2 linked regions of the Diceros bicornis minor genome follow. The protein of the gene in region 1 interacts with the protein of each later gene in a pairwise test. Links are inferred from orthologs where the notes say so. Each region holds a gene or a part of one and is shown on either strand. Other genes may lie near its edges. The genes, in order: LATS1 and MOAP1.

Region 1 (9,016 bases):
CATTCCCTAGCGGTAAACACATGGATTCAATAATAAAGCTATGAATTTTCCTTTGACTTTATATTTCCTTTGTGTGAATGTCTTGCTGCAGCCGTAAGCTGCAGTGTCCCTCTCTTCACCCAGTTACAGGCACCCGCCCATTACAGTCAGCAGGCTAGCATCCTTGCTCTGAGCGGGCCCAGAGTCGATCTCTCTCCTGGAAGACCCTGGCTCCCACATGGCACATTTTCCATGTACAGTGAATAGCAGTCTTGTTGTGCTTCTGCTTTCATCTGCATTATCTGCTGCTGAAAAGTTTGAATGTTTTATATATGTTACTAGCACTCTTCTCAGTTTCCAGGAGCAGTGTATTCAGTTTCCCTTGATGGTTACAGTGAATAATTGGTAGAGGGAGGGAGCCAGACTTGTAGACGTAGAATACTAGCCTGGACTGGAAACAAGTTGTAAGTTTGAAGCTTTGCTTTGATTTAAGGGTATTTGTAACCATAAGTAAAAGAAAGTACATTTGAATACTGTTACATTTCCTATCAATTGATGAGTTCTGCCAGATTTAATAAGAAACATAAGCTTTATGTAGTATAAATAAAACCCTAATTTATGAATTTGTTCATTGTCACCTACTGCCTTCATTCATGAAACTATCAAATAGAGTTTCTTTTGAGGGCTGCAGGATCTCAGAGGTGGAAGGTACCTTGGAGGGCATCTCCAACCTAAATTTAATAATCCTTTCCATAGCATTCCTAACAAATTATCATCCAGCGTCTACTTGGAAATACACTGTGATCAAGTTTCCCATTCCCCAGTGCAGCCTCTCCTTTGGACCACTCTAATTGTTACAGCATTATAGCAGTGTTTTAGTGTGTCAGTGGGATCCAAAACAATCCTGTAAAAAAGGTAGAATCATGTCATTGTGGGTTAACGAAGTGACCACGTGAACCTACTACGAGACAACCAAGTCAGTTCATCAAATCTGCATTATGTTGGGGTACTTTACCATAAGGTTTCAGTAAATAAATGAATTTTCATATACTGAACTGAAATTTGCTTCCATTTGTCTTCTTTCCTCAGGAGCCACAAAAAACATTTAATTCCTCTCATCACACATTCAAATATTCAAAACTACGTATTGTAGCTTCCTTGCAGTAAACCTTTTTGTTTCTTGTGGGCAAGGTTCCTTCCCAGCCTTTCTTGCCTTTCTTGGCTAAATCCTGCTTACGCTTCCAGTCTCCTTTTAGGTGTCATGTTCTCAAGAAAGCGTTCCCTGGCCTCTGACAATCTGAGTTAAATTGTACTCTGCTTCAGAAGCCCATTGTGCAGAGCGTATATACGCTTACAGCTGTGTTAAGCAGCCTGGCTCCCTCTACTGGACCACAAGCTCAAGTACAGAGCCCATGTCTCAGTTTTGTATTAACAATGTTTAACAAAATACCTGATCCATAGTAAGCACTGAATCAGTGTAAATTGAACTGAACTAAACTCACAATCTTGTTTTCTCTTCAAAAAATACTCCCATTTGCCAAAGGTCATCTTTAAAGTGTGACTCCCAAAATGAACACTGTTCTGGGTGGTGTCAGCCTTGCTGAGAATATGACAAAATCCTACTCTCCTGATTTGGGGTATGATATTCCTTTGTACTGCTGTCTCAGCTTATTGTAACTAGTCTGACATTTGTTCACTTAGACTGCTGCTAGTTGAACTGAAACTCTTCAATTTTCAAACATGATACTCCTAAGCCATACTTCCCATATTCTTGAGTTAATGCAGATGGTTTTGATCCTTGCTATAGGTCCATCCTTCTCGTTCCGAGAAGATAAATTTTATTTCAGTATAGGAAAGAAGGAACAACCTCCTTTGAATCTTGTCTGTAGAAGCTGATTATTTTCAGAATTTCCCAGCATGCTTTCTACACTCTCATCCCACTGGTTAGGAGATAGTTAAAGGGACTGAAGGGCTTAGGCCCACTCCTAGAGTCCTCTAAATTACCAGTGACACAAGTTATTGGTATTTGGCTACAGTTACAGAAATATTTGTAAACCAAACCGATTTATTGACATTCTACCCCATTTATCTTGCTGACAAAGCTACCACAAGAAGCATACTAAGTTCACTAGTGTATAGTTAATATCAAACCTTCATTTAAGCTTATGGTATGGATGTGGTATCTAGCTCAGACTAATTATGAAGCAGTAGTGATGCTCTTGTTCTACAGACATAAAACCTGGGGAGACCCAAACAACGATATGAAACTATTGAAACTTATTTCATTGGTATCATTCTGAACCATGATTAACGTTAAGTGGCAATGCAGAAAAACTAACAGCTACATCCTAGACTACGGTCATCTTAGCATCAAAACAATTCCAACATTTCACTACATTAGAGTTGTACAAAGAGGGAGAAAACCACGGGAGGGAGGGTTGAGAAGGGAGAAGTGGAATGACTAGAATTTGCTGATCATGTTAAAAAAAATTTTTTTTTTTTTTTGGTGAGGGCGATTGGCCCTGGGCTAACACCCATGCCCATCTTCCTCTGCTTTATATGGGACGCTGCCACAGCATGGCTTGCCAAGCGGTGCATCAGTGCGCACCCAGGATCCGAATCTGCGAACCCTGGTACTCTGAAGCAGAGCACGTGCACTTAACTGCTGCACCACCAGGCCAGCCCCAACTCTTCACTCCTTAACTGTGGGCTGGTCATGGTCTAGAGCCTTCCCCTAAGGCAGCATGAATTCCCAGGAGGGCTTATGTGTTCAGGGCCACACTGTCTCCAGACTTCTTCCATGTGTACTGTCCCTCTCCCTACAGTCACTCAACCATGAAATCTGGCCCCTACATTTGTTAATAAAAACAAAATGAAACCAAAAAACCCCACTTCAGTGAGGCATTGAGGAGTTGAGTATGCTGAGGCTAAACCAAGGGTTTTCCATCACAGCAGTACAAAGACCTTCAAGTGCAATGGCAGGCACTGCCATTCTTAGACATCCAGCACCCCAGAAACTATTCCCCTGGTCTTTCCCTTCCATGCCCACCCGCAGTCTCAGCTGCTTTCCATCTTGTCAATTCTTCTCTCTTTTCTCTGCCCTTCTCTCCCCCTACTTCACAGGAGTAAGCCTCCTAGTCCTAGAAAGAGCAATTCACTGAGCTCCTTGAATTATCTAGGAATTTCCCTCAACATAGTAGTTTATGGAGATACTCACCTTTAGGCTTAAAAAGAATTGAAGCGGGGCCGCCCGGTGGCACAGCTGTTAAGAGCGTGCGCTCCGCTGCAGCAGCCTGGGGGTGGCAGGTTTGGATCCCGGGCGCGCAGGGACACACCACTTGTTAAGCCATGCTGTGGCAGCGTCCCATATAAAGTAGAGGAAGATGGGCACGGATGTTAGCCCAGGGCCAATGTTCCTCAAGAAAAAAGGGGAGGATTGGCATCGGATGTTAGCTCAGGGCTAGTCCTCCTCACCAAAAAAAAAAAAAAAAAAAGAATTGAAGAGCTGAAATGAAGAAGTTCCATGGGTTGGTGACAGAGGTGACAAGATTCTGAGGGCAGTATGCTCTTCCAGATACATATTGCTTCTGGAAAGGGCAAGCAGGCCTGTGAACATATTAGATTCATATGATTATATATTAGATTCAAAGGTCTTTCTTTCGGGTCAGAAAGACCCGAAAAACAAGGTCTTTCAGTGGCAGAAAGTAAGACCTAGTGCTATTAAGCGGCGCACCTTGGGTCGTATCCTCTACCTTCTACAAACTCTGCTGGTGGAACACAGATGTTCAACCAAGTGCTCTTGGAATGTAACCTTTTCTTTTAACAGAGGTTTTCGTAACAGGGGTTTTAAGAGGGAATTTGAACTTCTGGATACAGTAGTCAGTAACTAGTTTAATATCAAAAAAAAGAAGTCTTTAAAAATTTTATAGACAGTCTCTAGTAGAAAAATGATGAAAGGAGATGTTTGAAAATACTAACTGGAAATACTTTCCAGAGGCAGAACTGGCAGAGGCGCTTTTACAAAGGGTGGCCGGTACCTTCAAACATCATAAACCCAAAGATCCCTTCGCAAACTTCCAACTCAACTTAACAAGAAATAAAACCTCTTCTCGCAGTCACCGTTATTCCGGTTATGACAATAATGCCTTCCTCTTCCACCGATTCGGCTGACATTAAAAATCTCTAGACTCTGTTCATCTGTCCGGGTTCAAGAATATATTAATCTGGCTGATTCAGAAAACACTCACGCTCACGGATTTACTCGGGGGAAGAGTGCTCAACAAAATCAACTTAAGTCAAAGCCTCTGGAAACCGCGACCCCTGAGTCCTCAGCGAGCTCTCAGAGGGCGCCTCATTCCCGTTTCCTTCGGGGAGTCAAGCTCCTCGAGACGCGCATCTTTACCTCCGTCCACAGAAAGGGCTCAAGTGAAGAGAGAGGGAGACTGAAACGTGAGGGCCGGGAGGGGAGAGCCCACCCCGCCGCCCGGGACGAGGCCCCGGGCAGCCACGGCGGGCACGGGCGACACTCGCCGCCCGCAGAGGGGCGCGCGGCCGCCGGAGAGCGGGGGCGGGCGGGAGCTCCCGGGCCGCGGCCCCCGCGCAAGCGACGCCGGGAAATGCCCACATCCGGGAACCCCGCGGCGGAGCGCGGTGGCGGCTGCGAGTGGAAGGCAAGATGGCGGCGGCGGCGGCGGCGGCGGCCTGCTGCTAGGGGGAGAGCCAGGTCTCGCGACCCCGCGACGGGCCGCGCTGGCCCGCGGCACCCCGGCGCCTGTCCCCGCCCTGCCCCACCGGGACACTCGGGGTCCCTCCCGGGCCGCGCCCCCGCCGCCTCGGCGCCCGCCTCGGGCCGTGCCCGCTGTCCGGGAGCCCCGCTCGCCCCTCAGGTAGGTCGGCGGGCGCAGCGGGTGGGGCGCGCTCTCCGCCCGAGCCGAGCTGGCGGGGCCGCGGCCGCCCGGCCCACGCCCATGCCCCTGGCGGGGTCCAGGGCTGCCGCGGCGGGCGGGCCGGCGGCCGGACCTGAGCGGAGCCCGGCCCCGGGAAGCGGGGGTTGGCCGCGCCCGGGCTGGAGGGAGAGCCCCGGGCTTCGCGGCCTGGGAGGTGCGGGTTCGGCTGGGAGGAGCCGGCCCGTCCGCAGGCCCGGCGCGGACTGCTCCCTCCCACCTCCACCCGACCCCCTGCTCGCGCCGGACAGCGGTGATTTGGAAGGAAGGGAGCGAACGGGGGTTCTGCAGGACAACTGCAGCAGAAGAGCCACAGTTGTTCGCGTCCCGGGGGGACCCGATCCTGGACAGACCTGGAAGAAACCCTGGGAACTTCTGTGTCTAGGCCACTGGAGTGCTTGGTTACTGCTCCTGGTTGGAAGGGGTGGGAGAGATGGAGGGGTCTCTATGGAGTAGGAGTGTATATAAATACAGAAGATGAAGGAAAGAAAATTAGGGGAACGTTGTTGATTATAATCTCAAGAAGAACTTGTGTCGCAAAGAATGACTCCCAGGTGACTTGATTTAACCCCATTCTCTGACTTCTCCAATTGAAAGTTATTTTCTAAGGGAACAAAGTTTAACGTTTCTTGGCCCATATGTTAATATGACTTAAAATATATATCATCGTCTGGAAGTTGTTCATAAATTTAGTGAAAAATACGTGTGGCCTTACGCACAAATAGTATTGTATCACTTCAGTTTTGGAAATGGTGTTGAATGCCCGGGATCGTGAAACTTGTCGGGGCTGTATGGATTATTTATTGAAGATTAAAAATTTTTATCAAAATTCTCCATGAGGAAGAAAAGATAGGACATTATAATTGGAATAATTGTTCTCTGCTAAAATACCTACATTTGAGGTCATTTCTGTCCTTTAATAAGTTGACAGACGGTGTAAAATGGGCCAGTTGATTCCCTAAGGCAGTGGAGGAATTTGACTGATTTAACAGTAAAAGTAGCAGCATTGTGTTCCTCTAATCGGCTGCTACTGCAAGAAACTGGATCATGGCACATGCTGGGAAAGGTGCATTCTTTCTGTTCTGAATGTTTATTGAATATGCCTTGCCACTCTCCAAAAGCAAATAAAAAATACGTCTGCTACATTTTTTTGGTATGATATCTGGAATTCCTTCTATAGGTTGAGTTTTTATTTTTGTTTTTAATGCTAGTCCTTGTTATTCTATATAAATATAGCCTTAGAACAGTTCCAGCTCTGGTTTTTCAGTTTTCATTCTAGATGTTGTTTAGATTAGTGGGGGGGGGGGGGTTGTAGACCGAAAAAGTTATTTCGTCATTTGAACAACATTTTTATCAAGTAGAAATGGCAGTCATTTTTCAGCATGAAGAGAGAATATAGTGATTGTTTTCAGTTTTGATCAATTGATTCTTAGTGAATTGAAGAAAATGCCCTCACTTGGCAAAGACTCTTGAATATTGCTGTCTGAACAACTAAGATTATGCTGCTAAGAAAAAAGCCAGACATATTGCTGTTGCTGTTCCCATAACTGATTGAGTCAAAGCGTTGAGACAGGCCATCTTTTTTATAAACCTGATTCAACCCAGGGTAATACTCTGAAGTTTTATTATGTAATGGTATCTGTTTTTTCCCTACGTTGGACAAGTTATCAGTAATATTTGTTTGGATTTACTGACGTTTGCATATTTGATGAAGGTCTGAACTTTCAAAGAGATGGAGGTTTTATCTGTTCAGTCTAATCAATATAAGTGTCCCTTCAAAGAATGAGTGAGTCGTGATCCCTGCCCTTAGGAGAGTCAGGTTGGAGGTATGATGAGAAGAACCCTGGGTGGTTCAGGATGTGTGAAGTCCATTCCTAGCATGACCTCCAGCTGGCTCCATGACCTTAGATAGGCCACTTTACCTCTCTGAATCCATTACTTCATCTGGGGGGAAAAAAATATATATATACACACACACACATATATATATCTGTAAGACACCTTATGCTCTATGAATCTGTGATCTAGTAGGAAAAATAAGACAAGTACAAGAATAGGGCAAAAACGTAAGTTTTATTTGATCATGCAAAGTACATTTGGAGTTCAGAAGAGAAGAATAACAACTGACAGTTCAGTGAAAGCTCGGTGAAGGAGGTATTTGAATGGTACCTTAAAGGTTGGGTATAATTTCTATGAGAAGAAATTTGGCAGGGGCTCTCTCAAGAAGAATAAACAGGATGATTAAGGACATGAAAGTCGAAAAGCACAAGGTATGTTAGCTGAAAGCAAGTCATTTGGCTTGGTTAGAGTATAAGGTACAGAGGGGAGAATCTGGGAGGATAATGGAAAGAGGTAAGGTAATAACTAGCCGTTATTGAGTCGGGCACTTATTCTAAACATTTGATGTGTATTAAACTTACTTAATTTTAATGCTCAAAATAACCCTATTAAATAGGACCATTACTGCCCATATTTGAAAATGAAGGAGCTGAGGCACAGTTTGCCGAGATCACACAGCTGACTAGTGATAGAACTGGGATTCATACCCTCCAGTTTGACTCCAGAGCTCTGACTTCAACTGCTAAGTTAGAGTCATTGAGGGCTCTAGAGTAGGGAAGTGACATGATAACTGTTTTCTAGAAGACTAATCTGGCACCAGTGTAGCATGGGTTAAAGAGTTAAACTGTTTTGCTTTGAAGAGTTCTTTAACAAATTATCCATTATTAATTTGAATTTTCATATTAGCAAGGGTGACTAAGATTTGTTAATGCTAGTGTTGACCATACTTTGTTGGAGAGATTGTAAATTAGTACACCTTTCTGGAAGGCAATCTGACAGTAAGTATCACAATTTTAAATATGCGTTCTCTTTGACCCAGTAATTCCATTTCTGGGAATTTATCTTAAGAGAAATTCTCAACAATATGTGCCTAAGAATTTTTATTGCAGTATTTTTTTATTAACTAATTATGATGTGTACAAGGAATATGTTATGTATAGGTAAGCTGTGAAGCAAAATAAATTGAACATCCATGAACTCACCACCCATCCTCAGAACTAGAATATTACCAATACAATTGAAGTTATCAGTGTTTGAAACATTATCTAGAATAGCAAAAAATTGGAAACAACTTAAATGCCCATCATTAGGGGTAAATTATGGTACATCTACATGATGTAATTTAATACATAGTTATTAAAAACGAGGTTGAATTGTCATATTTTCTCAGTTCCAAGACACCGTTAAGTCTAAAACAAGCCATGTATTTAGTAACAATTTTTCAGGGGAAAGAAAGTAAACATAGTTTTTATTAACCTTCAATAACGTATGTGTATCCATGCAATTGTATACCCTTTTTTTCAGTCACAGTGAAGTTTGAGTCTCAGCCTGCTCATACTCAGAATCTAGGATTCTTCCAAATTACTTCGGGCTGTGGATAGTTGACACATAACCACATGGTGACATGCTGCTTTTCATAACCTGGGCTAATTATCTTGAACCTCTTTATTGTCTTTATGATTGAGTATGTAATTTTGAGGCATAGTGAAGAATACTGGGGTTTCGTCTTTCTTTCCTTTTTGCTTAAACTCTTAGTTTTGTTTTTTCCTTAGTTGAGTGAGTTACTACTGGAAATTAAACACCTTCTTCTGAAGATAAGTCAAAAGGTTTTGATAGATGTTTCATGTCTCAGTGCTTGTACTGTCTCTTACCTTTGAAAATACCGTGATCTTGCCTAAATTTGGCAGTTGTTTATGCCTTTAATTACATTGCCTATTGGGTGACAGCGTTTCTGAGTACATAATGCTACATCGTAGTGGAATCTTTTTGAAGGCATTTTGAGCGTAATCAAGGGTCTAGATTCAACCACGTGTGGTACTGCCAATGAAAATAATACAATTGAAGTGACAAGGCAATTTTGCTGTTTATTTGTGGTCCACTTAGCTCTATGTATTGTCTGCTATCCAGAACTTCTCTGCTTTGGAGCTGACAGATTTCTTTTAATATTGATTTTAAGATATAGTCAATTTCAGAAATATTGGAATGTGGAAAAGCATGCATTCTTAGAATCAGGAAAATGCTGTGCTTACTGTTAT
Region 2 (8,295 bases), on another chromosome or scaffold:
AATATCTGGCATGTTTCCATGAAAAACACTCAACAGCATTACTTCAAGTGTAGCTGGAAGTAAAATGACTCATTAAACCACTGTGGGATATAACTATTTTTCTCATATATGGAAGCAAATATTGACTAGTTATGGATCCTAGGATGCTTGCCCCTTCCCTAAAATCCCTAAAGCACTCCCTATATTTGCCATTTATCTCACTACCTAGTCTTGTTTTCACTGCTTTTTGTATTGTGATGTGAACATGAAATAAATGACGATCTGCTATAATACATAGGTCTCCTATCCATCAATTTCAACCTCCTCCTCAAATCTAACAGAGCTAGGTTAATTTCACCTTTCCCTCTTTACCAAAAGAGTGCTTTTAACTTTTTTTTGTGAGGAAGATCAGCCCTAACATCCATTGCCAGTCCTTTTTTTGCTGAGGAAGACTGGCCCTGGGCTAACATGCGTGCCCATCTTCCTCTACTTTATACGGGACACTGCCACAGCATGGCTTGACAAGCGGTGCGTTGGTGTGCACCCCGGATCCGAACCCGCAAACCCTGGGCCGCCGAAGCGGAGCATGCACACTTAACCGCTATGCCACCAGGCCGGCCCCATGAACTTTTTTTTTATTATTTTTTGTGAGGAAGATCAGCTCTGAACTAACATCCATGCTAATCCTCTTTTTGCTAAGGAAGACTGGCTCTGAGCTAACATCTATTGCCAATCCTCCTCCTTTTTTTTCCCCCCGAAGCCCCAGTAGATAGTTGTATGTTATAGTTGCACATCCTTCTAGTTGCTGTATGTGGGACGCAGCCTCAGCATGGCCGGAGAAGCAGTGCGTTGGTGTGCGCCCGGGATCCGCACCCAGGCCGCCAGTAGCAGAGCGCACGCACTTAACCGCTAAGCCACGGGGCCGGCCCCCCATGAACTTTTAAATAGCCATAGACAAAATAAGAATAATCCACAACTTGGATAATTAATTCCTAAAGAATCAAAAAATAGATTAACGCTGCAATCTGAAATTCAGTAATTACATCTGAGAATACTGCATTACTCCTACTCTAATTATTTTAATATTTCTTCTACCAAGGCAGTTTGATCTTGAAAGAGAGAGAGGGACTGAGCATTTACTCACCAAATCCCCAAATATTAGAATTTGAAGTATAAGAGAGAAAGTCTACTTCCATAAAAAGGAATTACTACTTTACAAGTGGCAAAGTCACCAACCTCGCAATACATCAAGCATTTACAAAACAAAAAATAATTGAAATAATTTTCTTAATTTCCAAACTATCACTGCCTCAGGACTAATCAAATACAAAAAACTGCTCCATGATTTTCCTCAAATTACCCTCTCTTTTTGAGAAGCAGTATGGTGGAATGACAGAGCTGGAGATGTCAAGCCAGACGTCCTGGCTCAGATCCTGGCTCTCCCACTTACTGCTGTGTGCCCACGGGCAAGTTACTAATTCCTGTGCCTCAGGTTTCCACCTTTCCTCTTCTGTAAAGTGGCACCAGGACCAGTACAGCCTGCCTCACAGGATGCTGGGAATGAATGCAAACCATTCAGAAAATGTTTCCTGCCGCATGCCTACTATCACTAAGTACCCAAAAGATACAAGGGATTTGGTTATCTGACCCTCGCAGAAACACAGGTATTTCAAACTGCTGCTTACATTGAAGATTCAGTGTATTGTAGCGAAAAGTATCATTTCAGTAATTAGACCTTTGGAGGTAGTCAAGAAATGAGATTAATTGGAGGAGGATTTAATCGTGCTCCTTTTCAGTTACAAAGATGCCTGCTTTATTTTTCAAGTAAAAGCTTGCTGTGGAATGCTCAGCCCTCCATTCTGGTCAAATCAGACTTAAAGGTTGAGGTTGCCAGAAAACTTTCAGATTTTCAGTAGCTCATACAAATTGAGAAAAGCCTTCTCAATACTACTGCCATTTCCACTCTTTGACATGGCTAGGCAAACAGTACCTAGTGCTGAAACATCTGTCATTTGCAAGAAGCACTAACAACTCAGTGGTTAGGAACAAAGGAGTCACATGCCTAGTTATGACTCTGGCTCCGCTACTCACCAGCTGTGTGACCTTTGGCAAGTTACTTATCTTCTCCACTTCAGTTTCCTTATCTGTAAAATCTGCATAATAACTGCTATCTCATAGGGTTGTTGGGAGGATTAAATGAATTAATTCATTTAAGCTCTTAGAACAGGGCCCAACAGAGTAAGCCCCCCAAAATATTATGATTATTATTAAAACCTATCACTGTAAAACATTTCCCTGATATTAATGACATAACTGTATAAAAATATATCTTGAGCTCAACCAGGAAAAAAGAAAAAAAATCCTAAAATCTAATATTTCCATTTTTTAGTTATTTGTATTGGCACCAGACATGAGGTAGTACGTACAAATGCAAAGCAGGAAGTACAAGGATCACATCTTCATGCAATTAACCTGTTGTCTGAAGACCAGACCTTAGGCCAGAAAAGAGAATCGGAAGGATGATGACTTGCTGGTATCTTTTAGAGCAGGATCACACATCTGACAGGGACTGGACTAAATATTTTCACTGGACACCTTGTTTCCATCTCCTCTGTGTCAGATTTCTCAACTTGCAAACAGTCTCTTCCCAAGTAGTTTTTTTTTAAACCAGTAGCATTAATAATGCTAGTTAATAATACCAGTAGCATTACCAAAAGGAGGAACCAATTCTGCTTATCCAGACAGCTATCACCTCAGTAATTTTATACCAATTTCTCACAAGCTGATAGCAAGCAAGCATAAATAGTTGGTGTTTTAGTCTGAAGAATTTTAAAGCAAGCCAAGTAATTGTATAAAATTTAAATTTTATCACCATGTTTGGACCTTTTTACATTAAACACAATGGAAATGTTCATACTCATTTTTTCCCCAAAGGAAAAATTTCTGAACCATCACTATGTTGCACAGTAGAATAAAAATATGAGTTCAGGTACTTATTCAAGTTGCTAAAGAATGCAAATAACAGACACGATTTTACTTCCAAAATCTGAAATCATCAACATGATTTTGTAGTATGTATCTCAGGCTTTACCTAAAAATTCTCATTATTATTCAGATAAAGATAGCCCCCTAGTCGCATTTTTTAAAAAGCCTCTGCCCCACCACAACTTCCTGAGATCTGTGAAGAAAGTGCAGTCTTGTGATCAAGTTCCATATGGCAGTTTTGTAATCATAAGGAAAAAACTGTGACTGCTTTCACGTGTCAATCAGTTGTAGTCTGCTGATCTGATTAGAAGCCTTGACAAATGCCTGGTGGCGATTGCAAATAACTGCCAAGCATATGGGGATAATACAGTAGCCCACCGTCTTGGGGTCAGCTCTTGTACAAGAATAAAGGAACAAAAACATCTGTAAGTAAGGTATCAGAAAAATAATTGTCCAAAACCAAAACGGCAGAGAGAATAACCGAGCTTTCAAAGAGTGTGTCCATGTGGTTCCTTCAAGGGGCTCCTCTGGGTGCTGTTGAATGTGTTCCAAGGCCAGCCTGTTGTAAGTCTCATTGATTTCAAAAACATAGTAAAATGCTGCTGCACTTGCTAACAGATACAATCCCACTCCAATCCATCCCATCCGCTGACGGAAGTTCATCATTCTCCATGCTCTGTGCCTTTAAAATAAAAAAAAAAGTTAGGATCTAGTAATGCTGTCACGGCAACTATTCCAAATGTACTTGCTTTATGTCCAAGGAGTTCTAAAGTACCCCACTAAGGCATTTAAGGTTTAAAATAAATTACATTTACAAAGAAATGTAAATAACTTACAGATTGCTGTTTTATGTAATAAGAGGAAGTAAAGTTTTAGTATTCAGTCTGCTTTTTATGTGAATCCCACAGAATAAATAAATCACTATATCCAGCTTAATAGGTCCAGCACATCTTCCATTAAGAAATTGGAATTAAACTAGTTTCCTACGGAACAATTCACTTTTACAGTTAAAATACTTGAACAGTATTGCTTCAGACGTGAACACTTAGTTCTACAAGTCAAACCAACGTCAAGGCCCCCAAGTTAAGACAGTAACTCTTAAGCACTTACAATGGTCCCGAAAATCTTCCTGTTCCCACGGCAAGCGTTAAAGAGTCACTCAGTTCTGAATAATCGGGTGGCTTTGGCATTTCACAGAAAGCCACCATAAAAGAAATCTCCGGGGTCACCGGCTGGGAGAAAGGTGAGCGCGGCCAGCCTGGAGCACAAGCTAATTGTGATTAAGCAGAGCGTGACTGCGGCCGGTCACGCGGCGGCCCGGCCCCGGCCGCCGCCACCGCCGGAGCCCCAGCCCGTGTCACCCGGCCCGGCCCGACGCTCCCCAGCCACCCGGGCCTCCCTGCGGCCGTCCCGCCCCCTGCCGCGCTGCAGCGCCGGCCGGCCGCGACAGGCTGCGCGGGCGGCGCCAGGCCCAAGCCTCTCCGCCTCGCAGCGCCGGGAGCCCCGTGCCGGGCGGCCGCCGCCGGCCGAGCCTGCAGGGCTGGCAGGTCCCGGATCTCACCTTCCTGTCCGGGTTAGCCCGCCCGCCCGCGGTCCCGGACGCTGCCGCAGTCGGGGCTTCCGGCTCGAGCCGGAAGCGCGCGCCCCGCCCCGAAAGGCCCGCCCCGTCGTGACGTCGGGCCTTCGCCGGCGGTGCGGGTCGGGACGCGGGACGCTGCGGCGGCGCGGGTGGGGGCCCCTCCCCTCAGGTGCGCCCCGCCGCCTCGGCGCTCCTCGGGCTCGCCCCCCGGTGCCTCGCTCGCCGCCCTGATCGCCCGGCGCTCCTCGCCGCGCAGAGCGCCAGCCCTCCTCCGCGCCTCTGCCCAGCCCCGGGAGCCTCTCGAGTGTCCATCGAGTGCAGGAGACGCCGCGCTCCCGCTCCTCGGGCCTGGCCGCCGGCGGACGCAGACACCGGCGACTAGATCACCGGCGAGGGGACGCGGCCCCGCCGTCGGCTGCGGGCGCCCCAGGCCGAGGAGCGGGTGAGATGGCTGCCGGCCGCGGTGCGGCCGGCGCGGTGCGCGGGGCTTCTCGGGCCCGGGCCTGGACCCCTGCGACTAACCCGGCCGCGCTGTCCCCGCAGGCCGCCGAGCTCAGGACGCTGGCGGGACTTACCTGGGGTACCGCGGAGGAAGTGCGGTGGCATCGGTGCCCCGACATTTCAGTCTCTTGTTTGGGGCATCATGACGCTGAGGATCTTGGAAGACTGGTGCAGGGAGATGGATGTGAGCGCTCGGAAAGCGCTGCTGATCGCCGGCATCCCCCAGACCTGCAATGTGGCGGAGATCGAGGAGGCCCTGCGGGCTGGCCTAGCTCCCTTGGGCGAGTACAGACTGCTCGGCAGGATGTTTAGGAGGGACGAGAACAGAAATGTAGCCTTAATAGGTCTTACTCAGGAGACTAGTCATGCTCTGGTCCCTAAGGAGATACCTGGGAAAGGGCGTGTCTGGAGAGTGATCTTTAAGCCCCCTGACCCAGATGATGCATTTTTAAGCAGATTAAATGAATTCTTAGAGGGAGAGGGCATGACATTGGGTGAGTTCACCAGAGCTCTTGGGTATGGAAACGACCCTTTTGACCTAGACCAGGACATGAGCCCAGAAATACGGGCCCCTATGTTGGCACAGGCATTTCTTGAGGCTCTTCAGCCTGCCCTGCAGTACCTGAAATACACAAAGCTGAGAATATTCTCGGGCAGTGATCCTCCAGAACCAGACGAAGAAGAATTTGAATCCTGGCTGATTCATACTACTCACATGATGAAGGCATGGCAGGTTTCAGATGCAGAGAAAAGAAGGCGATTGCTGGAGAGCCTTAGAGGCCCAGCATTTGATGTCATTCGTGTCCTCAAGATAAACAATCCGTTAATTACGGTCCCTGAATGCCTGCAGGCTCTTGAGCAGGTATTTGGGGTTACTGATAATCCTAGGAAGTTGCAGGTCAAATATCTAACCACTTACCAGGAGGAAGAAAAATTGTCTGCTTATGTACTAAGGCTGGAGCCTTTATTACAGAAGCTGGTAGAGAGAGGAGCAATTGAGAGAGAAGTTGTGAATCAGGCCCGCCTGGACCAAGTCATTGCTGGAGCAGTCCACAGAAGGCTGCGCAGGAAGCTTGCTCTGCCAGAGAAGGGCCCAGCCCCTGGCTTATTGCAGTTACTGACACTGATAAGGGATCAAGAGGCAGCTGAGGAGGAGGCGGCCCTTCTCCAGGCAGGATTGGAGGGGCATTTCACCTGAATCTTAGGAAACCAGGAAGGGGTATCGGACGGTGAGCAGAGCATGGAGGTAGAATGGTCCATATACTCCAGTGATAGACATTACCCAGTCCCTACCTTGTGCTGCCAAATAACTCATTTTTGTACAGTTCTCAGTATAAATTCTTTGTCATTTCTATGCCTATTTAATGTCTCTTAAATGTGTCATTGACTAGGAAGGCTATAGTTCTGCACTGGTATTAATGTATTTATTTTCACCCCCGTGAATTTTTTATCATACGAAATTGTACAAAAGGTCTGTCACTACATATGTGTGATGCTCTGAGAGGACCACGAGGCTCAGGTGCAGATGCTCACTGGATCTCGTTGAGATCTCAGCTGTGTGAACAGGTGCAAGTGTAGCATGTCGGATATGATAATGTTGTATCATAGATAGTTTTTAGTTATGTATTGCCCTCCATTTATCATGAAGATCGTGAGCAGTGGTTAAGATACTAAGTTATTTTCTGTGTGAATCAGAATTTTATTGATTTTGTTCAATCAAAACAAGAATTAAATGCTGAGGTTGATAAGTTTGCAGCTGCTATCTCTAACACCGGGATTTCTGATATGTGTCATCCGGACATCTAGTTCTGAATATCGTTTTTTATAAGTGTTCTAAAACTATAGGTGTGGGGGCCAGCCTGGTGGCGCAAGTGGTTAAGTGTGCATGTTCTGCTGCCGCGGCCCGGGGTTCGCAGGTTCGGATCCCGGGTGCGCACCGACGCACCGCTTGTTAGGCCATGCTGTGGCGGCGTCCCATATAAAGTAGAGGAAGATTGGCATGGATGTTAGCCCAGGGCCAGTCTTCCTCAGCAAAAAAGAGGAGGATTGGCATTGGATGTTAGCTCAGGGCTGGTCCTCCTCACAAAAAAAAAATAAAATAAAAATAAAACTATAGGTGTGAACTTATAAAATAAAGGAATGCTAATAAAATGACCTCTTTTTTTTTTTTTTAAAGATTTTATTTATTTTCCCCCCAAAGCCCCAGTAGACAGTTGTATGTCATAGCTGCACATCCTTCTAGTTGCTGTATGTGGGACGCGGCCTCAACATGGCCGGAGAAGCGGTGCCTCGGTGCTAGCCCGGGATCTGAACCCCGGGCCGCCAGCAGCGGAGCGCGCGCCCTTAACCACTAAGCCACAGGGCTGGCCCTAAAATGACCTCTTTTATCTGTTTTGTTTATATCGAAGTTCCAAGAGAGAGTTCCTTTGAACAAAGGGTGCCAAAAGCATGAATCTGAAAACCACTGAATTTACACAATCTTAGTCTCTTGGACCCTTTTCCTCATGATGCCCAGGGGGTAGGAAGTAGTTTTCTAAGTGAGATTGCTGGAGGGACCTTCTGCTCAAGTACATGGAATGAAATAAGACAGACACAAATTAGTGTAAGCAGTGGGTCCAGATGCATCAGTGCATTGAATTTGGAGGGTCAAAGGAAGGAAATGGACATTGCATTCCACTGCATGGCAGGCTGGACTAAACATTTTTCCATGTACTTTCTCAATCCTCTTAAAAATCCTGCAATATAGGAAAACTCAGTTTCGCACTTGTGGATACGGGCACAGAAAGGTTAAGAAGAACTTGCCCGAGATGAAACAGCTAGTTTCAGAGTTCTATCCTCTGCCTTACTGCAAGGCCCATATTCTTTCCACTGCCAAGAAAGAGAAGCAATCATAAGGGTATCTGTACCCAACAGCCTCACAAGGGAGGCAGAGCTGATGTTAACCACATTTCATAAATGCACATCTTGAATGCATTAGTGTGAAGTGCATTATGCAGAATCACTACTGCAAACTAGACTCTATTAGAAATGGGAGTATGAGAACCTATAAGACCTAGGGGCAGCTGGGAGGGTGAGACTGGATTAGTGATTTGATCCCTAAAAAAAAAAAAGCATGAAAGTTTGAAAATTGCTGAAATGTAGGATCAAGTCTTTTATCTTTAATAAAAATACCCAAAAGAACCAAATTTGGGATGTACATGTTTGATTTAGTTTCAAAGGCTGAGTATAATGTTTCTGTTATGACTAAATGT

What was found.
Region 2: the proteins of LATS1 (region 1) and MOAP1 interact in a two-hybrid assay, tested with the Homo sapiens proteins (2 studies listed by BioGRID and IntAct). The two-hybrid records come from large-scale screens. The link is inferred for Diceros bicornis minor from reciprocal best matches to the Homo sapiens genes LATS1 and MOAP1.

Annotation. Positions count from the first base shown.
Region 1 is NC_080778.1:28,143,168-28,152,183, reverse strand, and holds the start of LATS1 (serine/threonine-protein kinase LATS1), read left to right. Parts: upstream 1-4,691; 5' UTR 4,692-4,865; intron 4,866-9,016. UniProt on the Homo sapiens protein: Negative regulator of YAP1 in the Hippo signaling pathway that plays a pivotal role in organ size control and tumor suppression by restricting proliferation and promoting apoptosis.
Region 2 is NC_080763.1:38,849,590-38,857,884, reverse strand, and holds MOAP1 (modulator of apoptosis 1), read left to right. Parts: upstream 1-5,186; coding exon 5,187-6,242; 3' UTR 6,243-6,404; downstream 6,405-8,295. Other genes in the region: LYSET (lysosomal enzyme trafficking factor), read right to left, coding at 3,235-3,646, 4,075-4,222, 5,119-5,149.